4 linked regions of the Schizosaccharomyces pombe genome follow. The gene in region 1 interacts genetically with each later gene. Each region holds a gene or a part of one and is shown on either strand. Other genes may lie near its edges. The genes, in order: rrp6, trm1, alp13 and sla1.

Region 1 (9,433 bases):
TGGTGTTTTGTAAGGATTGTTCAGGTAAATGCTCTGAAGCGGTCTGAAAATCGTATACTTGTAAATCTTTAGTAGAAGAGTTTTCAGTTTCTTGTTCCACTGGTTCATTGGATATCGAAAAAGGCTTATTTTGCTCAACGTCGAGTGAAGGAGGACTTTGAGAGGTAGATCCGTTTCCCCCCGAAACACTTGGTTGAGTAGTGGAAAGTGAATCCTTACTTTGAAAGTCGGAAGAAGTTGACTCTAAAATTGGAGCTCCATATATGTTTTTAGAAATTTCCTCATTGTTGGTGTCCGAAACTGGAATATTATTATAAGTATCTGAAGGAGTTAACCGAATGTTGCTAGTAGCTGAGTTTAATATTGGTATCTCCAAACTTCCAGAAGGAATACCGGATACTTGATCAAAGTTTGCATCATCTGACTTATTCCCATCCTTATTTTCTAATGTACGTTCATCAACGTTGTTGAATAAAGTGTCGTCTTGTGTTTGTAAAGCACTTATCGAAGCAGCAGCCTGTTTGACAGGTGAGTTGTAGTCTGGTTCATATGGAGATGATACCTGGTCTTGAAGCTCGGAGTTTGTACTGGTTTCTAAAATATTCTGCACAGGAGTTTCCACTTGGAACGAAGAATCTTTAGACGAGGATGACATTTATTGATTGACTTGAAAAGTAAAACCAAAATAAAACATCAAATTTTTTTAATTTATTATTATTAACAGGGAATATGAAGGAGAATTAAGAGGACAGAGTAACAAAAACAAAATTAGCTTTAAAAGATTAAAGTACTAAATTTTATGCATTTGATAAACTGGTCCAATTTTTAAATAAAATATTTACACAAGGTGCAATGAATGGAAATAACTAGAGGGTGAAACAGAAAAAGTAAAAATTTCACACTCAACCAAATGTGTAAAGAGTTGGCGATTAAAAGGAAATTTATGCAGATGGTTTTCTTCCAACTACCTTTATTTTTTTTTCTTCTTCACAACTTTATGTCTTAGGTAGAAGATACGGCGGAGTGGTACTAAAATTGCATCCTTTAAATAGATGAAAAATTAAGTTGCCACTCAAATGAATGGAACTTCGGGCTTTTCAAAACCACCGCCAGGGAAATGACATGAAAACAATTTTACTATCCCGAAATTTTCTTTTTTTCAGCTTCTGCACTGATAGCATAATCGTTTCCAAAACAAACTGTAAACTAAATTTTCATAAAAGCAGTAAATTTTCAAACTTGGAGATATCGGGGTAGGGTTACCGTTATTGCAGTTCAAATAACCATTGCTATTATTTAATATGTATAAAAAAACCATGTAGTAATAGACTCGTGTGCAAAGTACACTTCAGCTGGGTTTGAGGTGCAAGGTTGCCAATTAAGAAACGTAGTACTGATTCTTTTCACCTCTACCATACTTATTCAATGTTAAATGCTTATAACATTGATATCCACGGTTTTCATCCTATATTCAAACTATGCTTCCTGCCTTTAGTAACAAGCTTGCGTAATGCATTGTTTCCTGCATTTATTCGTTTGTTAAATTATAACGATATTTTGACGATTATACTATCCTTCCGTAACGTTAATATAATAATCAAAAATTTATATTGTTATAGGTCTTTAAAGGTAAAATCAATGTAAATAAATGTATTATTGCTAACATGTAGAAAATTTGATACTAACTTGAAAATTTTATGCAAGTACAAAATGGACTGTCCATTCAAGCAATGCCTTTCACTCTTGTATGTTTTGTTAAACTTTGCGTGGAAGAAACGCTTTCAAAATTATGGCTGAAGTTCGATCGAAAGAGAAGGAAACAATAATTACGTTTGCGAGACAAAACTAGTTTTTAAAAAAATTTTGTATATATATTTAAGTGGCTGTTAGTCTAATTATTATTTATTTTATTCATTCTTTAGATTTTATTTTATTTTATTTTTTATGTCGTATAGTATTACTTTATTTACGTTTCAATATGTATTTTTTGTTAAATTGCTTATTCACGAAATATTTTTCCATTTGCAATAAAATTTCTTTTCCTTTACTATATTTGCTTATTTAAAGTTCTTTTTTAATCACAACTCTATGACAATTTTCTACTCCTCATTTATAATACGAAAACTGAACAATCATAAAATTGAACTGTTTTACTTCACATAAATATCCAGCTACGATACTCCTATACCGTTTTTACATAGACAACAATCTCAAAATCGCAATATGATCATCCATTTACATATTCTATACTCTATGTACTATAACGCTTCTTAGTGCCTGGTTTACTCTTTCAAAGCTGTCAGGTGCATAAATATTGATGACAGAAAATCACCACAAGCGCACTCAAAGGCTTAAATAAAATAAACATTATCTATCGTTCGTTTTTTTTGGTAAAGAAAAAATGCTTCCACAAAGTTAAATTGTCACTTTTTCCCCATGTTTTATTTACCTTCAACGCCTCGTTGAAGGCCATTCTGCATCTCAAATTTGTCGCACTTTTCATGCAAGTTGAAAAATTGGTTATACACAATTTAAACCTCATACGAGGAGCTTCTTCCTCTCATCTGATTTTTAACACTGAAGTTTATCCTCATACTCACATATAACAATAGCGTTGGGTGTAGCATGGCAACAAAGGTTCCTGCGGTAGTAGGTAAAAGGCCCCCACGCTTGACTGATCCCCCACGGCTGATGACCACTAGTATTAAGGTCGCTGACGTTCTTCCTTTTCCTTTATACATCTTGTACAGACTGGGTCATTAGGTCTTCTCTCTACAACCATCGTCTAAACAAAAAGATGTCAGAAACTATATCGGATCCTTATCCTCTAACTAATCCAAATGCTCCATTAGGGCACCCAGGGCATTTGAATTCTACACAGCAAGCTACGCTAGATAGCATGCGTTTAGAGTTACAAAAACTTGGATACACGGAAAGATTAGACGATGCCACTTTAGTAAGTTGTACAGCAGGAAACTTTGTGTTTGTACTAATGGATTCTTAGTTGCGTTTTTTGAGAGCCCGTAAATTTAATTTGCAACAGTCGCTGGAAATGTTTATTAAATGCGAAAAGTGGAGAAAAGAATTTGGTGTTGATGATCTTATCAAAAACTTTCATTATGATGAGAAAGAAGCCGTTTCCAAATATTACCCTCAATTTTATCATAAAACTGACATCGACGGCCGTCCGGTATACGTTGAGCAACTCGGTAACATTGATTTGAAGAAGTTGTACCAAATCACGACTCCCGAGCGTATGATGCAAAATTTGGTTTATGAATATGAAATGCTTGCTTTAAAACGGTTTGTAAGTAAATTCAAATGATTAAATGTATCTCCAGTAATTCTCATAATCAAACCTTTCCTTTGGATTTGCATATTCCATATAAGGCTGGTTTTTCGGCTTTTTAATAGAAAAACTTTTGGTTTTCTACTGTGTTGAATTTTTTGTGATATATTTTTTCATTTTGATATTTCTTTTCATCTTTATTAACCGTCTTCAGCCCGCTTGTTCTCGTAAAGCAGGAGGCTTGATTGAAACTTCGTGCACAATCATGGATCTAAAGGGTGTTGGTATTACTAGTATTCACTCGGTTTACAGCTACATTCGTCAAGCATCAAGCATTGTAAGTTGAAAATGTTGAAATTTTTGTTCTTTTTTTTTTTTTTCAAGTATTAACACGTTAAAGAGTCAAGATTATTACCCCGAAAGGATGGGCAAGTTTTATGTAATTAACGCTCCTTGGGGATTCTCTTCTGCCTTTAATCTTATCAAAGGTTTTTTGGATGAGGCAACTGTCAAAAAAATTCATATTTTAGGCTCAAACTATAAGAGTGCTCTGCTCGAACAAATCCCTGCTGATAATCTTCCTGCTAAACTCGGTGGAAACTGCCAATGTCCAGGTGGCTGCGAACTATCTGACGCCGGTCCATGGCATGAAGAACAGTGGATGAACAAAAATTAGACTTCTTTCTCCGAACGGGATTTAATTGCTAGAATAGATGAATGTGGTTTGTCCTTTGATAAGAGTAATAGTGTGTAGAGTTTTTGCCGATCTTTCAACTTTGTTCTGCGTTTTAGTTCTTAAAGGTCTTCGTTCTATTTTTACTCAGCATCTCAGGTACTTCCTTCTACTTACGGTTTACTATTCGACGAAATTATCGTATATAGATCGAAGCATATATAAATATTTTATTTCGAAAGTCATGTGTTGATCCATCATCAACATCATGGGATGGTTGCTGTTACAATTCTTAATCCTTATAGAAGGTCTCAATACATATATCGTTCATTAATTTTCCAAAAAAGGACGCTCGATGATCCAACTGATTTGATTGTTTCATCCATTCTAGATTATCCGAAGTTTTTAAATTTGTAATTCATCTACTTTGATTATTTTTTTACTTTTTGATCAAAATTGAATGCCTATATTATAAAAGACCTCTCTATAGTTGCCTGCTAATAGTTTCACAATTTTGAACTAATCATAAATAATTGCTTTTACATAATTCTGCTAAGATTTTGCATTTGTGTAAAATATTTTATATATATAAAAATAGCTCTTGTATTTCGTACTTTAACGATGTCTATATTCAAGTTCGGTAATTCGTTGAGCGTGTGGTAAAAGTGCTTGAAAATTCCTGAACCAAACCAAAAACCTTACTGATCCAGTAGGGTAAACAATAGCATAATGGATGAGTCAGAATTGTTTAAGGGTTTAATGAATAGTACAGCCTATTGCTCTGAATTGGCAAAGGTTGATATACCGTTTTATAAATCAATTGATACCGAATTCAATGAAAACATAAAAAGTGTTTCTTCTCGTTTTATGAGATTAATTGAATTGCTTCTTTCTAAAGTAGACAGAAGTCGGGCGGAGGATATTGTGGACGTTGAAGATATAGATAATAGATGGGCAGAAGTATCGGACACATTAGACATACTCTTTGAAAAAGCTGTAAGTGAATTTTTGAAATTGTAAACGGATTTTATTTAACTAAGACGTATGAATATAGGACTATTCTATCGATAAAGCTCAAGGACTTTTAAAAAAGCCAGCGATCGAAACCCATGCGTCGACAAGCGATGTTGCCAATAAAAAACCAAAGAAAGAAAAGTTGCCCTACAAGGTTATTCACGCAGCTCATCTTACTAAGCCTCAATTAAGGTTTCGAGTACAGCCTAATAATTCCAGGGAGTTTGTGTGGTCTTGGAAGTTAACTGAAAAACCACATTCGTTAGTACCGCTCGAAAAGATTATCGCTCAAGTCAAATTGGACCCTAGTCTCAAAAACTCGTTACCACATCCATATGAACCAGAAATACAAAATAGCGTATATCCTCCATGGGTTTCAGAAATGTCTAATCCCATCGATACTGGCTCTGTCGACGAAACAGAACCTATCTGGGTTAGTACTGAAAGTCAGTTATCGGATATGCTAAAAGAATTACAAAACAGCAAAGAAATAGCCGTTGATCTTGAACACCATGATTACAGATCATTTAGAGGGTTCGTCTGTCTAATGCAAATTAGTAATAGAGAAAAAGATTGGATTGTTGACACCTTGGAACTCCGCGAAGAGCTTGAAGCTTTGAATGTTGTTTTTACTAATCCAAATATCATTAAAGTTTTTCATGGTGCAACTATGGATATCATTTGGCTGCAAAGAGATTTCGGGCTTTACGTTGTAAACTTATTTGATACATACTATGCTACTAAAGTTTTAGGATTTGAGGGTCATGGTCTGGCTTTTCTGTTACAAAAGTATTGTGATTATGATGCAGATAAAAGATACCAAATGGCTGATTGGAGAATCCGTCCTTTGCCTCGGGAAATGTTAAAATATGCTCAATCTGATACGCATTATTTGTTATATATTTGGGATCATTTACGAAATGAACTCATATCAAAATCAGCTGAAAGAAAAGAAAATCTTATGCAATCAGTGTTCAATTCCAGTAAACAAATATCTCTTAGAAAGTATGAACTTGAGCCTTATGATCCTATTTATGGACTTGGTACTGATGGCTGGAGAAATGTACTTACTAAGTTTGGCTCTTCTAAAATAATTGGACGGGAAGCTTTGATGATTTATCGAGCACTGCACGATTGGAGAGATTCCGTAGCCCGAAAAGAAGATGAAAGTGTTCGCTATGTGTTGCCAAATCGTTTACTTATTGCGATTGCCGCCAGTAAACCGGTTGAAGCGGCTGATGTGTTTTCAATTTCTAAGCAATTGACACCAATTGCTCGCATGTATGTTGAAGATATCGTTAAAGTCGTTCAAGAAGCCGAAAAGTTGTATAATGAGCAAGTAGATCGTGAGAAATCCCAATTTAAAGAAGTTGAGAAGCAAAATCAACCGCTAGCAGTTTTTTCCGAATCGAATACTTTGGGTGATTACAAAGTTGACTCCAGTGTTTTCGAGATTTCTAAACAAAATAGAAGTAAACTAAAGACTTTGCTGGCAAATGGATCTGCGTTTTGGATTGAGGGACAGTCGCAAGATGATTTACGGAAAGCTCGTAAAGAGAGACTCTTTATAGTGAACCAGAATATTCCTTTTTCATTAACTCTTCCTTGTACTCAAGGGCATGTTGAATCCGAATTGAATGTAAAGCAGTCCACTGTAACTGAAGCTGCAAACCCGAGTCTGAATGGAGAGAAGAAACAAGAGCCTATAGTCATTAGGGATTTAGGGCTGAACAAGCAAAAAAGGGATTCTTCTAAGCTTAATCATAAAGAACCCTCAAACCCCATAGAGGAGCGAAATGAAGATATTGAACCTTCGGAAGCTTCAACTTCAGTGTCAAAAAAACGGAAGCAAAAGAAGAAAAAGAAGAACAGCGGAAAACTTACTATTGAAGCCGAACATGTTTCTAATGACAGTCCAATTATCAATGAAGCACCTTTTGATTATAAAAATCAAAAGAATTTTATTGCTGACTTAGACTCTGATGTAGGAAAAAATAAATTTGGGAAACGGGGTTTTAATCCTCTTAACAAGGTAAGTTTACCAAAGCGAAATACTAGGGAACTCAAAAAAAGGAAGGTTTCAGACGGGAAGAGTACATCTTATTAATATCAGTTTTAATTTTAAATAAACGAAACAATTTTGACAAAATGAAAATTTACTTTTAAATACATTGTAGAAATTGAAAATGATCATGTATGTTTGTTTGTATAATAATGTAATAATTTTCAAAATTAATTTCAATATTAAATAAATAGCTATAAGAAGAAATTGAGAATGCATGCCCCTGCGAGGAAACGCTAAGTAATAAATAATAATTGCGACCAATTTAGCTCTTTCTTTTACAAAGCATGTCGTAAAGATTCGTGTCCTTAAAGTTGAATTCTTCGTCACATTTCATAAACGGGTGATTTAATAATTCCTCTGCGGTTGGCCTTACATCAGCATTCACAGTAAAGCATGCATTCAAAAATTGAATCGCTTCGGGTGATACCTGAGACACCAATTCACTAGGAATAGGAGGCGCCTTTTTCTCGGTACCTAACTTGAACATAGCTTGGATAGCCTCATCTGTAGACCACGGTCTACGACCAGCTAACATTTCCAACACTACACATCCCAAGGACCAGACGTCGACCTTAGCACTATATCCTTGATGATCATTATGAATTACTTCAGGTGCCATCCAAAAGATGGATCCTTGCATGGACAGGTTTGCGTCATTGTCATACACATTATCACTATGCTTAGATATTCCAAAGTCTGAAATTTTGCAAACTCCATCAAAATCAATGAGCAAATTGTCAGCCTTTAAATCTCGATGTATAATACCTTTAGAATGTAAGTAAGACAACCCGTAGAGCACCTGGCGTGATACAAAACGGACCAGTTGCTCTTCGAAAGGACCATAATTCCGCAAACATCGACCAATTGAACCACCTGAAACATATTCCAGGAATATACTTATATCCGTTTCCGTCTTTTCGAAACCCAGATATTGCACTATATTTAAGTGATCCAAATCGGCAATCATAGAAATTTCTGCATTAATGGAATCCACGATATCTTTGCGTAATTGGTCATGACGGCCATTAATAGTTTGTGGTATTTCAACTTGCTTTACTGCAATCAATTCACCCGTATTAATGTTCATAGCCAAAAATACCTTACCATAAGTACCATTTCCAATCAATTCTCCTTTCATCCATTTGAACGTGGCATTTTGTGAAACAACTGATCCAGAAGTTATAGTAGTATCTGGTTTTAGTTCTACAATCCTAGAGCCCCAAAGTTTCGTACTTGATCGACGTAGAAGATTTCCAGATTTATTGCGTCTCGCGTTATGTCGTATTTCTTTCCGAGCTTCAGATGCTTCGCGGGCTAATAATCGTACAGACTTCATTTTCGGACGTATCGATACCTTTGAAGGGGAAGAAACCATGCGGCTTTGGTCCACTACAAGTACTTTATCCAAATCATAACGGGGAAAAAATCGATCAACATCCTCATAAAGATCATCAGCAGATGGACGAACTTCCCAGTTACCAGAATTGATAACCTTTGAAGACGGTGGGGATTCACGAATATGTTTGGACTTTCTTAAACGATAAGATAACGGTGATAAACTAATGGATCTGTCATCACCTCTACAGTATTCAGGAGTTTTAGGCGAAGATAGTTCATTTGCTTTCAAATCCGTAGCAGCCTCTGTGTTAATGGAAAGTTTGGATTGAATGTTGTGATGATTTTCTTTAGGTACTTGGGAGGAAGATTGTTTGGGCTGTATAGCCCAAAAGGGATCCCCAGAAAGATCCGATTCGTCTAGTGCAGGCGCATCTTCAAAAGGTATTTCTGATAAAGCTTCCACACTTTCCTTTAATGAATTAGAAGATTTACTAGATGCTTTGGGGTCAAAAGACGTATGTGAAAATTTGCTAGCTTCGTTATGTCCGGTATCAATGTAAGGAGAGGACCGAGCGTGACGAATACTTGGTCTACGAGTCAATGTATTTTTTCGACGTAAACTAGATGTCTCTGTGGGTGGGGGTGGAGGATCTCTATGTGCCACAAAATTTCTAGTTAAAACAGAAGCAGAAGTATTAGATGAAGGACTTTGGGGAGCGGAAGAGCCGGAATTAAGTGGCATTTTCAATGTGACCTTCTTGTGAGGTCTACAAACGGTAAATTTGTTTTTTTCACTTTGGGCTTCAGTGGCATCCAAAATTTTTGTAGCCATTTCTCCTTTAGCACCACGGATTTTTTCAAACCCTCGAAAACGTCGAGATGGTAATTCTGGAACAACTGCCAAATTCGGTGCCGAACTAAAACCTTTGTAGTATTTATTATCAGGTTGATGCCCTGATAATGATAAATTAGGTCCTGCATCAGTAATTTCAAAATCCGAAGTAAGCACAGGGTAACTTGGTTGCTTTTTAAAATCTTCCTTGCGATGATATAT
Region 2 (8,558 bases), on another chromosome or scaffold:
ATTCTTACGGAGAAGTGGATCCGGCAAACTAGTTATAATGGAATTAATCAGTATTAAAAAGACGTTAAAACAAAGTAAGTTATTTAAAATGGAATGCCCATTTCTTGACACCAATGGGTATCCAAAGTTGGTTGCTCTAAGGAAGTGCGTAAAGTTCTATTCGCAATTTACTCGGCATGACAGCAGGAAGGGTGGGACAGCAGTGATGAACAAGTTAAAGGTGTAAAATAATGCTAAATGTCAAGAAATAAAAACTCATTACTCATTCCTACGACTCGAGCATATTGACACGTATCTTAAGGTTTTATGGTCCTTCCAAATCTAACGAAACATATTGGCTTAATATATCTTCCTTTCAATTGCGTGAATTAACATTTGAATACAAGTAAATAAACTATCATAGATTAAAAGAACGACAGATGTATTAGTCAGAATTAAAGAATATTCAACAGAAAAGTAGTTTGACGTCTCAGAATAATTTCTATAGGTTGTAAATTAGCTTAAAGCAATTAATTGGCAGAAAAATTAAATGATAGGAGTTATCTATTAGTAAATTGTTAATTCTCCATATGTAAATCCGGATCGAGGAACATTATTGTTTGACCATTGTTTGTAGTTAAAAGAACACCAAGGTCTGTATATTCCTGTATTGTATTTATTAAATGATCTTCAGTAAAACCCTTAGCAAGTACGCGTTCACGAATAGCACGTAGTGTAAGTGAGCGTTCATTGCCTTCAACATCTGGTATGCTATTAAGCATGTCTCGAATAATTTTATATATTTTCGAGGTAATAGTAGTATCGTGAGAACTAGGATCCAAATCATCGTATAGTGATGACTTTGAAACAGACATTAATCTCAAAGCTTCATCAACATCGCCAATCTCCACTCTATTACTGAAACGCAAACGAGCTAATGCTTGTCCCATTCGCAAAATAGCGAGAAGTGTACGTGGAGTAGTGTGAGCGAATTGACGCTCATTGGCTTCATCACGCTTTTGGTTTTGTCGAAGTTGAACATAAGCACCAGTAACATAGTCGCATACATCCTTTGGTACGACTGGGCGATATTGTCTAGCAGAAGAAATATAATGCCTAATCATGTTTGGATCTAATGGTTCAAAGTCCATTTTAGGTTGTTCGTTATGCATGTGAACATATGTTACGTGTTGTGCCAAATGCTCGTCTGTTTCACGAGAAGGAGTATCTAAAATTAAAAATAAAATATCAAACCGGGAAAGCAGTGCAGCTGGAAGATTTATATTGTGGATTGGTGCCACTTTCGGATTATATCGTCCATATAAGGGGTTCGCAGCGGCCAAAATACTTGTTCGAGCATTTAAAGTCGTAGTGATTCCTGCCTTTGAAATTGAAATAGTTTGCTGTTCCATTACTTCATGAATTGCTGTACGGTCACTTTCATCCATCTTATCAAATTCGTCAATGCAGCAAATACCGTTGTCAGCAAGTACTAAGGCACCTCCCTCTAAAACCATTTCATCCGTCACTGGATCACGCATTACAGCAGCAGTTAAACCAACACCTGAAGATCCACGACCTGTGGTGTATACTCCTCTCGGGGCAACCTTCGAAATATACTTTAATAATTGAGATTTTGCGACACCAGGATCACCAGTTAAACAAATATTTATGTCACCACGAATTCTCATTCCATCCCCTAACTCTTTAGTAACACCTCCGACAAGCAACAGAAGTAAAGCTTTTTTAACATCTTCATGTCCATATATCTCGGGAGCAATGGACTTGGCCAGTTTTTCGTACACATTGCCTCCTTGATTTAATTCAGCGATAGCAGCCTCCGATTGAGGAGTTTTTTCAATATTTGTGTAATTTTTAATGATTTGTGAAACATAATGGCATTCTAAGTAAGTATCGGTTAAGAGCCCGGCGCGCATTGCTCGAAAACCAGTATACGGAGTCGGCAAAAATATACCAGAAATATCAACGATATCGCCAGGATTTACAGAGCGAGTGATAGCACCATATAAGTGGACGGTTAATGATCTAGGGATATGGCCAATAGGTACTTGGTTCGTTAATTCTTGTATTTTTACTTCCTGAAAAGGAAGAAATTTACTGGCTCTTGTGCTCATGAAAAGCTGACCTTTTGCATCATTCTTTTTACATTCATCCGAAGGACATTCAGACATTGGAAGGAATGTCTTCTGACGGATTTCTTGAAACACTTCATACCCACATCGATCACATGTATAAGCATTTACAGTTAAGCTAGGCTTAACATCACTTGTACGAGTAACTATACCACGGACAGTCAAAAGAGATCCCAAGTTTTCGCCTCTTAAATCACGAACGCTGAATGGTTTTTTGTTGCGAGTTACTGGTCGAAAGTATAAGTCATAACCTCGGGTTAATTCAGGAGGAAATCCTTTATGCTCAGGGTCTATATTTTCATTCCTTTGAACACGTTGCTGCATAATTACATCAAGTACTTCGTTGCGATAATTAATTTCCACAGTAGGAGGAGGCATCAACGCATCTGCGCACTGCGAAAAAAGTTCAACAAACCGTTTAGCATTAGATTCAATATTATGCAAAAGCTGAGTATCACTTGGATCGAACTCGTACAAATCATTCAAATCAACATTAATAACATTTGACTCTCGATTGGAGATTTTTTGTAGTATATCCATATACTTTGATTTTAAAAAAGGCTCATCACCTGCATCCGACATCGAAATATCCTGATTTTGTTGTCCATCTTGAACCTGTTCCTGCTTGAAGTGGGATAGAAAATCCGTAATTTTATGTTGACATTCTTCATACTCTGGGATTTTTAAATCTATGGTGGGAAGTGCCATGCTTTTCAAACCAAAAAAGTATCCCAAAACTTTTCTGCTGAATTAGCAAAAAATATAAAGGTTCAAAAAGAAAGCAAGGGTATTAAGTAAGGGTAAGATACCAAGAAAGGTTCTTCTTTAGGTTGTTTTAGTTAGTTGGTAGTATGAATCAACGCGAACTCGTAAGGTAACAAAAATGTAAATATTGTAACTTAGGGCATATACAAATTGTCATTGACTCTAAAGAAATTGCAGTGTATAATTTTTTTGATTCTCTACATATTTCCTTTTTAATTTATTACTCTCGCAGCAAAAGTAAACATTCAGTTTGATTTTAAAAGCCACTATGTAGTACTGTTAGAAATTTTTTTTGGAGAGTATTCACTATGTATAAATAAACAGTTTATTTGTTTTAAATTAATAATAATCATTTTGCCAGACAATAAATTGGTCATTTTATTTTCATAAATGTATGTCTAATTGTTTTCATTGCTTCAATCGATTGTTATTTTAGCTATCCATAATTTTTCCTATTTTTCTTCTACACGTTTTGTATTTCTAAACATGAGAGTTATTTAGACTACTGCCTAAAATTTATTTCACTTTTATTTTTAAAAATTTTTTTGAAAACTTATGAAGTAAGTTAGCAGGGAAATTCTCAAAAGAAATGCGATATCAACAATATAAAAACTTCGAGTAGGGAACTTTTTATTTTTTGTTCGGTTATTTCAAACATCAGTGAAGAATGAATATAGAAAATTCTTTATTGTTTTATACCACATTGTAAACTGTACCTAAAAGCACAACACGCAATAGAAACGTGCTATTGGAATGCTTATTTATTTTCTGTTTACAATAGACGAATATAAGTATTTCTTTTTTTTTTTACGAAAGGATCAAGGTATTAAAATTATTCACAGTATGTGGCTAGGTCTCTGTCGCGCTTATCTTTTTTTAATTAAGCAATGTCTTTATGTACGGTCGCGTCGCATTAGAAGTTTCGTGATTTGTAATATTTGAGCAGTTATAAAGCGCTCTACATCTCGGATGAAAAGGAGATTGTGAAGAGATATTTATTTCTAACATCATATCGTACTACTAGGCTGATATCATTGCGTTTCATCTACAACATAAATTGAGGTACCCTGACGCGTCTTAAGTATTACACTGAAAACTACTTTATTAAATTATAACAAAAAGTGAGAAATTTAATAATTTATTTATTACATAAAGTAATAAATTCATTTCTATTTTTTCAATTATTTGAGCCTAAATAATTGAATTTATTCGACTCCACGCTTAGCATCGAATTCTTCGATTTAAGCTATCACATTTTTCTATTAACTAGCTACAATTTCCTGCTTTAAGAAACCGTTATTATAACACACCAGAAGGGAAAGGAAGTAAGCCCTTGCTTTTCCCATTTAATTTGAGATTGTCTTCGAATTTATTTCATTTTTTTTACTCGTTGCGTTTGTCTCCAAATATTAATTAGTACATTGTTTTTTTTCAACGTTATTCATCTCCATCAGCCTTTGACTTAGTTTAACTGCAATTTTCCACTCTGTAAAATAAGGCAGCATTTTGTCTATTTTGCCTTCACTCTTATTCATTGTGTTATCATACCCAAAGTGCGACAAATTAACATCCACAAAAAAAACGGTGGTGTTGAATATACTACAATACTGTGCACTACATTGGATAACCTACCTTTGAAAGTTTTGCCATTAACCACAACACATCTTGGGAAGCCACATCGCAAGAGATAATCGCGGTGGAAGAAAACTTTTGTACTTATTCTATATACAGATAAATCCGGTCAGTTTGGACGAAATCTCATTATTAATCTTACAAAATGGGCCTTGAGCATCTCGAAGAATTCAGTTATCCTAAGGAACATGGTGAAGAAGTCGAGTATGATAGCGAACAAGGTGTTCGTAAAATTTATGTTAAATCTATTAAAGAAACCTTTAACTTTGATAATGTAAGTGAAGAAGAGAAACAGGAAGGAGGCGACTACTACTTGGGCAAAAAGGAAGATGAGCTTGATGAAGTTGTGCTTCGCCCTAATCCTCACCGCTTTGTTTTGTTTCCAATTAAGTATCACGAAATTTGGCAATTCTACAAGAAGGCTGAAGCATCTTTTTGGACTGCTGAGGAAATTGATCTTTCGAAAGACTTGGTTGATTGGGATAACAAGTTAAATGCTGATGAACGTTACTTTATTTCCACTGTACTCGCCTATTTCGCTGCGTCAGATGGTATTGTTAATGAGAATCTTCTCGAGCGTTTCAGCTCTGAAGTTCAGATCCCTGAAGCTCGTTGTGTTTATGGTTTCCAAATTATGATTGAAAATATTCACTCTGAGACCTACTCACTTTTGCTTGATACATACATTCGTGAACCTAAGGAAAAACAGCGTCATTTCGATGCTATTTTAACAATGGGTTCTATTAAGGCCAAAGCCAAGTGGGCTCTTCGTTGGATTAATGATGAAGATTCCACCTATGCAATTCGTTTGGTTGCCTTTGCTGCTGTAGAAGGTATCTTCTTTTCTGGATCGTTTGCCTCTATTTTTTGGCTTAAGAAACGTGGACTTATGCCTGGTCTTACTTTTTCCAATGAATTGATTTGTCGTGATGAGGGTCTTCACACCGACTTTGCCTGTTTGATGTTTAGTCATTTGAAGCACAGACCAGGCCGCAAGGTTGTTGAAGCCATTATTGTTGAAGCTGTTGATATTGAGAAAGAATACTTCACGGACGCTCTTCCCGTTAGTCTGCTTGGTATGAATAAGGATTTGATGTGTCAGTATATTGAATTTGTTGCTGATCGTTTGTTGGTTGCTTTGGGCAATGACAAGTACTATAACGTAACCAATCCTTTCGATTTCATGGAGAATATCTCTTTAGCAGGAAAAACAAATTTCTTTGAAAAGAAAGTTTCTGACTACCAAATTGCTGGCGTTATGTCGGGTACCAAGCGCGCTGAGAAGGATGATCATACATTTACAATCGATGAGGACTTTTAGATGACTAGTTATTTTTGGTTTTTAGATAAGTTAAAGCAAAAAAAAAATATTATTGATTACTGATAACCTATTTAGCAATAATAAATTAATATGTTTAATTAGATTTTCGTTACTCTATACTTTACAAATCTAAATGGCTACTTCAGTGAATGTAATGACGAAGTTCTAATTTCTGAAGTATTTCTATTCAAGTTCTTTTCTCTTTTTCATTAATTTACTACGTCTAAGAAAAGTTATTTTCCAGTCATAGACTAAAAGACCATTTACTTATTATCCTTATTGTCAATTACCTAAACCTACAAGATTACATGTATTATACAATACTTTGTAATTCGATTTATGGTTGACTTATCACATCTCGTATTTTTTTAATGAATTACTGCAAATTTACTCTCAAAAATAATCAATACTTTCTTTTTTTTTAACGATTATTTTTCTTTAATTCGTATTAAATGTATGAAGCCAATATGCTAAGATTAAGTCAAAGGATCTCAAATGCTGTGAATCACTTCTCAACCGCCATGATGTCGGGGGCTTCTGCAAGTTTGACCGAGGGTAGTGCAATTATACCATTTTCAAATCCGAATGAAGTCTTTTATAACCCCGTACAACAATTTAATAGAGATTTAAGCGTTACAGCTATTCGTGCTTGGTCGGAAACTAGATCCAAAAAAATTGTTGCAAAATCTCATCACCGGCATCAGCTTCTCGATCAAAACTCCGAACTTAGCCAAGAAAATCTTACTAAATGTGATACAACTCATGATTTTGAAAAAAACTGTTCGGAAAAGACAGATTCTACTTCAGCTGATAATATTGCTGGATTTACCATTTTAGAAGCACTTTCCGCTACTGGATTGCGTTCCATTCGGTATGCTAAGGAGTTGCCAAATGTCAAAAGGATACTTGCAAATGATTTATTAGAAAATGCTGTGAAAACCATCGAGAAGAATGTTAATTACAATAATGTGAGCGATATAGTAATTCCTAATAAAGGAGACGCTAATGCTGTTATGCATATGAACAAATTTCATTACGATGTGATTGACCTTGATCCTTATGGATCTGCTGCCCCGTTTCTGGATGCTGCTGTACAATCCGTTTCAAAGGACGGTCTTCTATGCATCACATGTACTGATTCAGCTGTTCTAGCCGGTAATGCATATCCAGAGAAATGCTTTTCTAATTATGGTGGGTCCTCTTTGCGCTCTAATTTTTGTCATGAGCAGGCTGTTCGTCATTTGCTTTATGCTATTGCAGCTTCTGCTGCAAAATATGGTCGCGCTATCAAGCCGCTACTTTCCCTAAGTATTGATTTTTACTTTCGCGTATTTGTTCAAATTAAAGCAAAGCCTGTTCTCGTAAAAAATTTACAAAGTCAATCGCTATTGATATACCATTGTTCAGGCTGCGGTAGCTTTGCCGAGCAACCACTTGGAAAAACTTCTCCGGGAAGACTACCTGGAACCACCAAATTCTCTAATGCTTCGGGGCCTCCTGTATCTGCTAACTGTGAACATTGTGGATATGTGCATCATGTTGGAGGCCCTTTATGGGGTGGACCCCTACATGATGCAGAATTTCTCAAAAAAATGCGCGCCATTGCAGAAGATTTAGACCCTGAAGTCTATGGCACTAAACGAAGAATCTTAGGTATGCTCGCTTTGGCTGATGAAGAACTACCAGATGTTCCATTTTATTTTGTTTTATCCCAAATTTGTAGCGTCTTGCGCTCCCAATCTCCTCCTCAAAATATATTTGTTTCAGCTTTGTTAAACGCTGGATATCGGGTTTCTGGTTCTCATGCCAAGAGTAATGCAATTAAAACAAATGCTCCCTGGTCCTTCGTTTGGGATGTTTTGCGCTCTTGGATTAAAGATCATCCAGTGAAGCTTGAAAATATTAGTAAAACATCTGCTGGAGCAGCGATTTTGGAAAAAACTCCCACAGCTGAGGTTGATTTTACATTCAGGCCCGATTCCGAGTTTGCATCCAAAAAAGAAGGTTATACTCGATATCAAATGAACCCAACTGAAAATTGGGGCCCAAAAAGTAAACCTGGTAAAAGAACTATCGCTGAAGTTGACTCAAAATCTTAGGTAAAGTGGAGCACAGTTTAAATACTCCTTGTATTTTAGGTTTTTGGATAGTACATACAATTTCATTCTTTATGTTATTTCGGAAGGTTTATGCAAATTATAAACAGGCTAGTACAAAAAAGATTTAGTTTGTGTATTCCATACTAAATACTTGTTTAAACTAATAGTATCCGCAACACAATTAGCAATGTTAAAATGATTTATTGTTTAACCGTATTCTTCTTTTTTACATAATTATTTAAAGAAGGTGCAAATATTTTCTTAATTCTTTTGCTTCAACAATTTTTGGTATTGTTACTTTCGTTGGTGGGGTACTAACTCGTCCAACAACAGTTTGCTCATGAAATGTTGTCCTGCCTCGATATTGGATCGTTTTAATGCAATAAAAGTTATAAATGTGATGGGATTGCGTCTAAACGGACGAAGTGTTCCTTGGTTGCTTCAGACACGAAAATTTATCAATATCACTAGTCCAAGATACACAGCTGGCAGGCCTGTTATTTTGAATGAAAATCAACTAATTAGATACTTACCAAATTACACAAATAAAGGAGATGAAGAGGTAACCCGAAGGAAGAAATTGCATGAACCCAATGGACCAAAATTTCA
Region 3 (8,064 bases), 980 kb from region 1:
AAGTTCTTATATAGAAGTCAAGTAAGTAAACAAAATCCTAGAAATGCCAGATTATGTTGCGGACACCAAAAATTTGACAGTTCAATCTTTCTATGCTAAGAAAAATGAAAATTGAATATTATCCTAATTTAATCAAGAATTTGGCGAAAGTGTTACAAACTATGTTTGCAAATTTTGCTCCATCTTTTATACTGTGTTAGTCATGGTTCGGATGCGTGCTACGACAAGTTAGTGATAACTGATTTTAATCACTCTATTAAAATGTAGTTTGTCAAATGGAACAAATACTGCATGCTTTTGAAGAAAATATATTCGCATTACTTTGAACAGGTTTTAATGAAATGAGTTTATAAAGGAACAGATATATCTTATTAAAAAGGTGCAGAATAACGTTATATTTAATTATTAAAAAGAAAAAAAAATTCATTCATTGTAATAAATACCCGTTAAAGCTATATTATTGAATAAATATGGAACAGCTTAACGTTTGAAGGTCCTAGTCTAATTCTTCTATTGCAGAAGGTGCTGCCTTTTCTAAACTTTCAATTAAAGATTCTACAAGATGAATTGACTCGTCAACGTTTGGCTCTTTTGACCATTGAAAATCGCTAAGGGATGCAATCTGACTAGAAAGAAATTATTAGCAAGCTAAATAAAGCTCAATTAAAACAACCCAAATTCCTAATCAACCTCATACCTATTCATTTTAAGAGTCAATTGTGTGCAGCGCTCTTTTTCCTCATTTAATTTTGTATAAGCAGATTGCACAGCTTCAGAAAGCCGCTCATTGATTTCACTTATGTCCAGCGGTTTTGCACTATGTGATGTGTAAAATTCTTCTACATCGTGCAATGTAGAGGCATGACTGACCGTTTGCAGTTTCTCAACATTTGTTGCCAACATCCTATCTATTCTGCTTTTGCCGATAACTTGACTCTCGAGATGGATGTTAGCTCTCAATTTTGCTAATCGCTTTTGTCTTTGTTGTGTACAGTATTCGTATAAACGCTCAATCAGTGGGTCTTCTCTGTATCTCTGAGGAAACAGTTGCCGCCATTGTTCTAAGCTTATAATAGACTGCAACCGCCCTTGAGAAAGAAGATAATCATTAAGTATTTGTTCCTCCATATTCATGAGCAACCTTTGAGATATTAGTAAATTGAATAAATGAAACGCAGCATTTGATGAAAACTCATGTAGAAAAGCTAATTTTTCCTAAAGTATCCTTTTGACTAAAGCATTTTTTATAATGCGTATTGGGACGTATTTGCTGAACATAATGAAAGTTTATTTTTAATTTATCATTAAAAATCCTAAAACAGTAACTTACTGATAGCACTTTCTCCAAGCATTTTGCAGATGAATGAATTTGTTGCTTAGATAGTATCCTGTTACACCCACCGTTTGTTAATGGGTCTAGATAATTTTTAAAACAAAATAGCTAACTCCTTCAAAGTAGGATAAATTTGCTAAGTGTACTGTTTTGGCACACGTCCTCTTACTTCTAACTCACCACCATACCTACAACGTTGTTGGAATGGCCGTGTCATATAAGGTGAATGAACGTGTACTATGCTTTCACGGCCCGTTACTCTATGAGGCTAAAATTGTTGATACTGAAATGAAAGGTGATGTTACCACGTACCTGATTCATTATAAAGGATGGAAAAACAGTTGGGATGAATGGGTTGAACAAGATAGGATACTACAATGGACAGAAGAAAATTTAAAGACTCAGAAAGAGTTAAAAAATGCCGCTATCTCTACGAGACAAAAACCGACTTCTAAAAAGTCCGCATCCAGCACTTCGAAACATGACTCAACTGGAGTTAAAACATCAGGAAAGAGGTCTCGAGAATCGAGCACCGTAACGGTTGATGGCGATTCACATGAATTGCCTTCACGTATAAAAACCCAAAAATCAGAGTCTCCAATTCCTCAACAAGTGAAACGCGATGGAACAACCGATGCTAAAAACGAGGAAACTACTAAGCCCGAGAATAACGAGAAAGACGATTTTGAGGAAGAGCCACCGCTTCCAAAACACAAGATTAGTGTCCCGGACGTTCTAAAGCTATGGCTTGTTGATGACTGGGAAAACATTACCAAAAATCAACAGTTAATAGCTATACCGCGGAATCCCACCGTCCGGGCTGCTATAGCGGCCTTCCGAGAATCCAAGATTTCTCATTTGAACAATGAAATAGACGTTGATGTTTTTGAACAAGCGATGGCTGGTTTGGTTATATACTTTAATAAGTGCTTGGGCAATATGCTGCTGTATCGGTTTGAACGGCAGCAATATTTAGAAATTCGGCAGCAATATCCTGATACTGAAATGTGTGATTTATATGGCGTCGAACATTTAATTCGCTTGTTTGTAAGCCTTCCTGAATTGATTGACCGGACTAATATGGATTCACAATCCATCGAGTGTTTGTTGAATTACATTGAAGAATTCTTGAAGTATGTTTACTGCTTTTAAACTCCCCTACTATACTAACCATTTATTTAGGTATCTCGTTCTACATAAAGATGAATATTTTATTAAAGAATATCAAAACGCCCCTCCAAACTATAGATCTTTGGTTGGTGTATAAAATTATGATCGTTTGCATCTATCCCAAAGATAACTAAAACGGTAATCTAAAATATATACGTTTTCTTTTTGAGATATAATACACTATTATCTATAGAATGCAGTAGGACCAACATAAGGCATTCAGAGAATTCATGCAATTATTATGTTGTTCCTTAATATTCAGATATTAATCATTTTGCTCTTCAAAGAGACAATTTGCTTCTGCAAATTGCCAATTGGAGTATCAAATTCTAAAGATCCAGAAATTTGACTTCCAAACTGATAAAGTTCTGCATTTACGACACCTTTCATTGCCTGGATGCTCAGGTCTAACGAACTTTCTGCCGGGATACACTGCTGCTCCTGTTCAGTTATATTGGCAACTCTTCTCAATTTTTCTTTAATACAACTCCATTTTTCTATTGTTTTTAAAATTTTTTTATCGTCAACCCGATGTTGTAATGTATCAGTCCGCTTATTGAATCCATCCATAAAATTGTAATAAAGCTTTATGAGTGCCCGTCTAAGGGCCAATGTGTATAACCATTGAGGACGTATGTAATACTAGAATTTGGTGAGTTGGACGTAAATAAGAACCAGTAAATATAAAAACTAACCACAACTTGCTAAGAATGTGTACTTACTTTTGTAATAACGAAAGTCGAGAGACCACTGATAGAAAAAGTATATAATATGTAAATTAAGAAGGACAATAAGCTGGACGAAACTTGTATATTATCTGGAAAAGCTTTAACAGGCGGATTTTCTTTAGGAAGCAAAGGACTTTTGCTTTGAACAGCACTGTTCGAACTCATTTTTAGAATGATCGAAAATTTTGCACTAGTGAAAATATGGATATCAAACCAGTTGAAGAAGAAAATGATAAGCGTAAAAAAGATGGTTAAGCATATAGTGTTGCGGAATAAGTAGTTTGATTGTTCGAAATTAATACGAAGCAGTAAAAAGCAACTTTGCAAAATTAACAGAACAAATGAAATGAATAAGTTTGTTATATCTAACGGATTGTTATTAAAATGTATCAAGTTTCCAATCTCGATTTAAAATGTGGCGTGCACAACGGTGAATTGTTGACGGTCCTTTTACCCAATATAATGGATTCTGGTAATGCGACAGAATTAGGAATTGGAGTAGAAGAGTGGCATAAACGGCGCTCTTCATGGCTTTTAGGGAAAAAATCTACCGAAGAAACTGATTCATCGAATGAAGTTGTAGTTCCTGAAAATGTATATCTCAATGTTTATGAAGCACTAGTCTATCGAAGGCAAAAGTTGAAGCGTCCGGTCAAATTAAGCATTGTAGTAAGTTGAGTCGGTTATTATTTTTTTCCTTTTTTAAAATTCTATCTTTGTTTGCGTTTTTTTGCTACTTTACTAAAACTTTTTTTCACCAGATTGCTGTTCTTAAAGCCGGTTGGATTCGAGATGGATTTTGGCCAGCTCCCAGCAATAGCAATGGAGTTTCTGTACCTCCTTGAAAAGTCATTATTAATGACCTTATTTCTGTTGCTACTTGGAAAGCAAAAAATTTCTTATATCCCTGTTTATTGTTTAAAACTTTGGTGTAATTATTGGTAACAATTGGATATCGAGCATAAAGTATTGAGATATATCCTAATTGAATAAATAATAAATGGTTTTCAATGACATTATTATTAACTGGAACTAACATTAGCAAACTTTTTACCCGGGAAATAAACAAGAGTAGAGAAAGCAACTATTTAACTAATAATATAAAGCAAAATCTTCTCATATTATTTATATTATAGAGTTGAGCAATCCAGTTTATTAAGAAAGTTATTTCTTTACTATTTAACTCTCCTATATGCTACAATCAAGAGCTGTTTAAGGTAGCAATTGCTAATGTATTAAATATTTTTATGACATTCAACGAGCTCTTGAGTTAGCGAATGTCATACTAAACCAGACCTTGTTCTTGAACATATTCTCCTTTGTTTTTCAGTTATATTTCTCTTAATCAATTTTTTTCTGGACCAAATTTACGTTTTAGCACAAAGTTATTTTGTCTGATGCTTATTGAAGGGTAATGCATAGAGCATTTTCATTATACCGTGTTTTAGAGCTATCAAAAGCTCGGGTTGAATGCGTTTTTGAGTTAGGTATGATTTATTTTACTTTTGGACCTTAATGCTAATGGATAATAGGAGGTCTGGTTTATGTGTCGAATAGCAATGGTGATTTGGATAGTTACAAAATCTATAACAATGAAGAAGAAGAAGCAGGTATGGAATTGTTTCTATAAAAAAATAATTATTAATAAATCTTATAAATAGCTGACTTCGTCATGGAACATGTGGATGTATATCCTAATTTTACGAAAAAGCCTATAACAAAAGTCGTGAGTTGCGCTACGCAAGATATATTTTATGCTTTATCTGGTAAACTTTTTTAAACTAGTTTAGTTATAACTATTAACTTTTTTAGATTCTCAAGTTTACGTTTATCAAATTTCGACTTTTAAGAAACTTTTCTCGTTTGGAGCACATTGTCAGAACATGTGTTTGTACGGTGATGAATTAATTGTACTTTCATCCAAAAAAAATTTGGAAATTTACGAAATACAGAAGAATTCTAAACCTAACCTCACAAAAACCATTTCACTTAATGACCGGCCAAGGTCTCTTGCTTGGGTATCTCCTACAATGATTCTTGTGTCTCTTTCAAATGATTTTTGTGCTGTAAATACTGAAACATCCCGGATTTCTTCTCTTAATTTAGCATGGCAACAGTCCTCTTCTCTTGGTTTAGGTATAAGCTATATTGGAATGTCCATAAAGTCAAACAAATTGCACATTACTCGAATATCTGATGACGAGGTTCTTTTGTCTAAAGATTCACAAGGATTACTTGTGAATCTTAAATCTTTACAAGTCTCTCGGAACCCTCTCCGGTGGCCCACTGTTCCTCAAGCTGTAATTTATAACTCTCCATATATAATCACTTTACACAACCAATACATTTATATTTGGAACAAAGAGACTTATGCAATGATTCAGCAAATTGGAATAAGTAATATTTATTCAACATTTTCTTGTCATAAAAACACATTTTTCACTTCTAACTCCTATGTATGGATTTTAACTCCTGAAGATTTTAGCAATCAAATTGAAGCCCTTCTTAATACCGAAAATTTAAATGAAGCTATCAGCGTTTTAAGTCAAATTACAGTATCGCAATTTCCTAAGCGCGATTACTATTTGCGAATTACTAAGCGGGAGAAAGCGCTGCGCTCTTTTTCTTCTGGTGATTACGATTTGGCTATGCGTTTATTTTCTGAGATCTCGGAATCTCCATCTACCGTATTAGGTTTATTTCCAGGGCTTTTGGATAATAATTATTCTGATGCTATAAGCATCCTTTCGATGGCTCCTTCACAAAATGAATCCATTGAGTCTAATGTACTGTTCCCGGGCAATCATTCAAATTCTCAAACAGATTTGCGCAATGGCGATGCAGTTTCAACAGTTGCAAATAATAAGCGCCTTCGCTCCCTGAGTACATATTTGACGGATTCTCGTCGTAAAGCCAATCGATTTTTAAGTTATGATGAAGAGCATTATTTTTTACAGAAGAAAAACTTATTCTTAAATGCTGACGGTACATTGGTTGCTAAAGAGAAACTAGAAAAAATTGCTGTTCAAATCGATACCACCTTATTTTTAATTTATATGATTTCATCGCCAGCTTTAGTGGGTTCTTTACTTCGATTACCAAATCGATGCGAGACTTCGGTAGTAGAAACAAATCTACTATCTGCTAAAATGTATCGTGAACTTGTTGAATACTATTATGGAAAATCACTCCACGAAGCCGCTTTGGATTTATTAACTAAATTATGTGATGAGCCTACAGATACATTGTCTTTAAAGGGAAAATCTAACACAACTTCCAAATATGAGCCTATACTTTCCTATTTAGAAAAACTGTCGCCGGAACTTGATCATCTTATATTTAAATACAGCCGTGTTCCACTAAGTGAAGATCCTCAAAATTCTATAGTAATATTTATTGACGAAAATTCCGAGGCCAGCACAATCTCAAAAGGCGTTGTTTTAAAGTATCTTGAGACCATTTCGTACAAGGTTTCTATCATTTATTTGGAGAAATTGCTTTTGGATAATAAATTTAATGATACGGTTTTTCCAACTCGACTAGCTCTATTATACTTGAAGAGGATTTTAGAGCTGGAAGAAACAACGGACTTCAAAAATCAAGAAGTTTTTAAACAAACCATCGAAAAATTAGAAGACTATTTGACTAATTCAAAACAATATGATGCTAATGTCGTTTTACAAGAAATTAACTCCCAAGACGAGTTCCTTTCTACTGTCTCGATAATTTTGTATAGACGATTATCACGGCATCAGGATGCATTGGATGTCTATTTAAAAATACTAAATGATTGGGAGGGTGCTCTATCTTATTGTAACTCTGTTTATTCCATTGATGGGGAAACAGAACCGTATTATATGCTACTTGCTGAAATATCTAAGAACTACAAATCCGGTTCTCTAAACATTTTAGATTTTATAACAAAGTACAGTTCACGCTTGGATTTAAACAGAGTTTTTCCTTTACTGCCAAAAAACATATCTATGAAAAGTTATCATTCTTTGTTCTCTTCTCAATTTCGCCAGTTATTTGAAGAACTGAGTAATAAAGAAACGCAATCTAAATTATATCAAAAACGTTTGGAAGATTTGAATGAGGAATTGACTAAAGTTCGTTCTGAAAAAGTAGTAATTACCCGAGAGAAAACTTGCTTGTTTTGTCACAAACGACTTGGAAAAAGTGTCATCTCTATTTTTCCCGAGTAAGTAATTTTATTTTATTTTATTATTTTTTTTTAATTACTAACCTTCATTTAACAAGTGGATCAGTCGTACATTACGGCTGTGCTAAGAAATATGTTTCTTCTAACCATCTTCCTTATGAAGCCTATTAATGTATATTCAATAAAATAATTGAGAAAATTTACACTACTTATTTTCTTTCTTCCAAAATCTTGTTCTGATATACCTGTTAATAAATATACCGTGGCGTGCGTTATATTTTAACGAAAACTTACCTATCTCTCCTAAACACCAAACAAAAGGCTGTAAAATAATTTTTTCGTTTCGTATACCAACTTCCACTTTACGACGACTGTTTACTACGTTGTACTGGAAAGTGGTTAAATTTTTTTCTACTTGGAAATACGGTTTGGTGAAAATTTGTTTGGGGTAGTCTGGCTTCTGTACTGCAACTTCGGAAAATCTATAAAAATACTCAAATAGTTCTAGCTAATTTGATATCGTTGTAGGGTATATCTTTATAAAAGAGATTTTATATATTCTTAAGGTTCACTTTAGGACGCTTTATTATGGCTCATCATCATCGATCAACGTTTAAAGCTAAGAAGCCGTTTAAGTCTAAACACGCTTCAAAGTCATCTTTAAAGGAGAA
Region 4 (4,249 bases), 770 kb from region 1:
GTCAGTGAGCGCAATAAATTGAACTCTCCTCATCCTCCCGTACTTGTAAAAATTGCACCTGATTTGAACGAAGAAGAACTCACGGACATTGCCGATGTCCTCAAAAAGTGCAAGATTGACGGTGTGATCGTTGGTAATACTACCGTTCAACGCCCTAAGACCCTCAAATCAACTAGCCATGTTGAAGAGACGGGTGGTCTTTCTGGACCTCCTCTCAAACCTATCGCATTAAATACTCTTCGCACACTTCGTAAGCATCTTTCTTCCGATATTCCCATCATCGGCTGTGGTGGTATTTCTTCTGGCAAAGATGCTATTGAGTATGCTCGTGCTGGTGCAACTATGGTTCAAGTTTATACTGCTTTGGGATATGATGGTCCTGTAATTGCTCACAAGATTAAGCAAGAGATTCTTGCCGAGCTTAAGGGCAAACGTTGGGTTGACATAATTGGCAAGGAAGAATAGATTGGGATGTCAGTATATTTCTTTTAAAGAAAAAATTCAGTGTCGTTTACTGGTACATTATTATAGTAAAAATTTAACATATTATAGAAAATAATACTCACGTTCTTCTAATTAAATATTATAAATGAATTACCTTTTGTTTTGCATACCTAAGTTTGCTTGTGAAACTATTATGTCGCTAGTTTAATTCTATTATGAAATTAGTCATTCAGGCATTTCTTAGTAATCTCGTAAATCCTGCCAGTCTTGCTTGTCTTACATTTGTGAATACCTATTTACTTAAATCTGATTTAAAAAACATGCAAACTTATATAAACTTAGAATGAATGACAAAGTTACGTTCTTGTAAGATCGTCGCCGCTTTCTGACCATTACGCAGACATTAGAAGTTCAGAGCTCAACTTCCCATAAATCAAAAAAACCATGTTTGCTAAAAACTTACTTTTCAGATTTCCAAAATGTATAAGGATTAACGGTTACAATAATATGAGAAGGTCTCTACTGCAGAGAAATGGATTTCAAGCAGGCATTTGTCGAAAATTTGGTACTGCAACCAAAACTGATGTATGGAAAGGCCGTTTTTTGCCTATTGTATCTGGCGTTGCAGCTGCTTCTTTGACTGCTGGATATTTACTTGGAAAAAACACTTCAAATGCATCATCGAGTCAAGATAATGACCATCCTGTTGTAGGCGAACATGTCCATACGGAAACACAATGTAAGTATCATATGTTTGAAATGGCTATCTTTTTCTGTACGATTATATGAATTTAACTAACAATATAGCGTATAATGAACCATATATGCAGCGACACCGAATTGAAGATGCCATTGAGAAGAAAATGACAAGTGAAACACAACCTTCGACTGACGAGAAAGGCCGCAAGGTCAGCGCTACTGAGAATAGTGCACCGAAGAAAACTGATAAGGAAAAATCCAGCGGGGAGACAGCTGGAAATATACTTCGAGAACAAATAGCCACTGGTAAAGATGATGATGAATATGCTAGGAAATTTGAGGAAGTGGAGGAGGAGAGCAGCGAGGAGTCAGCATTTAATCCGGATACTGGAGAGATTAACTGGGATTGTCCCTGTCTTGGAGGTATGGCTCATGGTCCATGTGGAGAAGAATTCAAAGCAGCTTTTAGTTGCTTCGTTTATTCCAAGAGTGAACCAAAAGGTATGGAATGTCTTGACAAATTTCAAGCTATGCAGGCTTGTTTTCAAAAACACCCCGAAATTTATCAAGATATGGTAGGGGAGTCTGAAGAGGAAGACGCCGAAACTAATGAGAAACCATCGACTACATCTGACGAAAATAATCAACCACAATCTCCACCCTCCGATAATGCATCTAATCCTGAAGAAGACGTTATGAACATGGAGAAAGAAATTGTTAATCTTACACCTATGTCAGTTATAAAGGAAATTTAAAATTTTCGAGGCGCTCCGTTTACTATTTAAAATCCTTCAACAATATGAAATTGAAATTATTCAATTAAAGCATTTGATAGTGATCTCGTAACGAACATATAATGACTCCAACAAATGGAGTAAGTTTAAAGTATTAATGTCTTACATCGGTTTTAATAGTTAGCGGTTCTACAATAAAGTGGATATTAAATGATAATTCGAATGGGGAATCTTGATATTATAGGTTATATTGCAATTGTCGGTAAAGAATCATAAATAGGAAAACTAAAAGCTACTGCTTGTCATTATGGTTAAATTGTATCCAGAGCTACATTGTAAGGAGCAATCTCTGTTAATCTTTTCAAAAAAAAAAACAATGGAAATTCATGGGATTATTCTATCTATTATAAATCTATTATGAATAAACTACTTCTTTTTTAAGTGCCAACTTTTAACATTGTCTTCATGAGTAGGAAAATAATGTCAGTTCGATAATAGGGTAGGGTTAGAAATGCTTCTAGGAGAGGAATCCAACTTCTTATGAAATTTGCCCTTTGCCTGTCTCTCTACGAATAATTAACATCATGTCAACTGAAGAACAGAAGGAAGAAATTAAGGACATCTCATCTAAGCAGGAGAATTCTTCAGAGGTTCCCAAGGCCGAGGAAGCTGGAAAAGTAGTAGAAAGTCAAAAAGATACTACTAGTGAAGAAAAAAAGGAGGAAACTACTGAAAAGAAGGAAGATGATGGAAAAAAAGATTTATCTTTTGATGAAGCTGAAGTTTTAAAGCAAGTTGGTATGTTACACACTTTGTTTACGTTGGATTAAAACCTTTTTTGTGTTGAGTGGTCGTTACTAACAGTATGAATAGAATTTTATTTTTCGGACACCAACTTACCCCATGATAAATTTTTATGGACTACTTCTCAAAAAAATGATGGATGGGTTCCCATTCAAACAATTGCTAATTTCAAACGTATGCGTCGTTTTCAGCCTTTGGAAGCCATTGTAAATGCTCTTCGCAAGAGTCCTGAACTTCTTGAAGTCGATGAAGCTGGCGAAAAAGTACGTCGTATGATTCCTCTAGTTCGTGTAGACAACAAGAGCGTCATGGAAAGAAGTGTCTACTGCAAAGGTTTCGGTGATGAAAAAGATGACACTCAAATTGCTTTGGAAAAATTCTTTGAAGAAAATGCTGGTCCCATTAGTGCTGTCCGTATGAGAAGGGATGACGATAAAAAATTTAAGGGAAGCGTATTTGTTGAATTCAAGGAACCCGATGTTGCTAATAAATTTCTTGAGAAAGTCAAAACTGCACCTTTGAAATGGGGCGAGGACGAGCTCACTATAATGAGCAAAAAGGAGTATGTTGACATGAAAGCTGAATTACATAAAAACGATCCACCAAAGTTTAGCAGCAAACGCAGACGTTTTGACGCTTTTAAAGAGATGGATCGTCAGCGTCCTGGTAAATATAGTAACAGAGGAAGAAAATTTAAGAAGCAAAGGTCATCTAACGCTTCTGAAGAGAAGCCTTCGGCCGCTTCGGAGTAAAATGGATTAATTTTGTTTGTTTGTTTGTTTTACAAATACTTCAAAGACACTGGACAAATAAACTTTTTCGGATTGGTTATATTAGGAATTTTGGATGAATAAATAGTCGTTTCATGCAGTTATTTTGTACAATATGACCTCGTAATTTAATGCTTAAATCGTAACAATATTCGGCTATAAGTTTTGCTATACGAATTTTAAAGGTTTTGAATAATAGCAATAGTTTTTTGCTTCATCACTTATAATGTATCGTACTGAATATTTTAAATTTCACATGAGTTAATATTAAGTCCTATTTCTTTACCAGTACGACCAAGCTTGCATTTCAGAAGTTCTCAGTGGAATTTGCAATGATCAGAATTGACTGAATTAAGAACTTGTATATTTCTGGTGGATATCAACCATACAAGAATCAACTTTAACAGTAAAAATAAAAAAATATCAACCTTAGAACCATGCGTCTTTCACATATTTCCGACTGCACAGTCAACATAGGTTTACAGTTCTCGATTGCTTGACTGGGCTACGCTATCGATCCTACACATCAATATGTTCTTCAGAATACAAAATATAGTGAAGCAAAAATAGTTGACCTTCCTATAGCTTAATTATAACTGAGACATTGCTTAAGCTACTTGAAACAGAATTAAATTGAATCTTTGTTTTATACTCATTTTTGGGCTATGACTGATTTTATTACTATATATAATCAAACCGTAGTAGAAAGTATCGTTATTTCGAAAATAAACATCTAACTGACAAAGTTATTGTTTTTTATGCACTGTGCTGTTCTTCGTCATATGCTATAAGCTCACC

The links.
Region 2: mutations in rrp6 (region 1) and trm1 are lethal when combined (synthetic lethality), as found in Schizosaccharomyces pombe (one study listed by BioGRID).
Region 3: of rrp6 (region 1) and alp13, changing one enhances a phenotype caused by changing the other (phenotypic enhancement), as found in Schizosaccharomyces pombe (one study listed by BioGRID).
Region 4: mutations in rrp6 (region 1) and sla1 are lethal when combined (synthetic lethality), as found in Schizosaccharomyces pombe (one study listed by BioGRID).

What each region holds. Positions count from the first base shown.
Region 1 is NC_003424.3:606,195-615,627, forward strand, and holds rrp6 (exosome 3'-5' exoribonuclease subunit Rrp6), read left to right. Parts: upstream 1-4,653; 5' UTR 4,654-4,691; coding exon 4,692-4,958; exon of another isoform or gene 4,959-5,016; coding exon 5,017-7,083; 3' UTR 7,084-7,144; downstream 7,145-9,433. Other genes in the region: poly(A)-binding protein Nab3, read right to left, coding at 1-655; spo20 (sec14 cytosolic factor family, phospholipid-intermembrane transfer protein Spo20/Sec14), read left to right, coding at 2,798-2,956, 3,005-3,307, 3,504-3,626, 3,690-3,965; MEK kinase (MEKK) Mkh1, read right to left, coding at 7,304-9,433.
Region 2 is NC_003423.3:3,717,081-3,725,638, forward strand, and holds trm1 (mitochondrial tRNA (guanine-N2-)-methyltransferase Trm1.1), read left to right. Parts: upstream 1-6,302; coding exon 6,303-7,949; 3' UTR 7,950-8,058; downstream 8,059-8,558. Other genes in the region: MCM complex subunit Mcm7, read right to left, coding at 558-2,840; ribonucleotide reductase small subunit Suc22, read left to right, coding at 4,675-5,850; mrh5 (RNA helicase), read left to right, coding at 8,290-8,558. UniProt on the Schizosaccharomyces pombe protein: Dimethylates a single guanine residue at position 26 of nuclear- and mitochondrial-encoded tRNAs using S-adenosyl-L-methionine as donor of the methyl groups.
Region 3 is NC_003424.3:1,582,025-1,590,088, reverse strand, and holds alp13 (Clr6 histone deacetylase complex, chromodomain subunit Alp13/Eaf3), read left to right. Parts: upstream 1-1,511; 5' UTR 1,512-1,537; coding exon 1,538-2,466; intron 2,467-2,515; coding exon 2,516-2,600; 3' UTR 2,601-2,761; downstream 2,762-8,064. Other genes in the region: centromere localized protein Cnl2, read right to left, coding at 497-626, 698-1,134; SPOM_SPAC23H4.13C (uncharacterized protein), read right to left, coding at 2,762-3,145, 3,226-3,396; SPOM_SPAC23H4.21 (uncharacterized protein), read left to right, coding at 3,616-3,900, 3,993-4,076; guanyl-nucleotide exchange factor Vam6, read left to right, coding at 4,646-4,718, 4,764-4,841, 4,893-4,997, 5,044-7,432, 7,492-7,564; ribosome biogenesis protein Tsr1, read left to right, coding at 7,982-8,064.
Region 4 is NC_003424.3:1,381,726-1,385,974, reverse strand, and holds sla1 (La-motif domain-containing protein), read left to right. Parts: upstream 1-2,426; 5' UTR 2,427-2,461; coding exon 2,462-2,675; exon of another isoform or gene 2,676-2,750; coding exon 2,751-3,433; 3' UTR 3,434-3,567; downstream 3,568-4,249. Other genes in the region: mitochondrial dihydroorotate dehydrogenase Ura3, read left to right, coding at 1-465; disulfide relay system thiol oxidase subunit Mia40, read left to right, coding at 889-1,183, 1,252-1,898.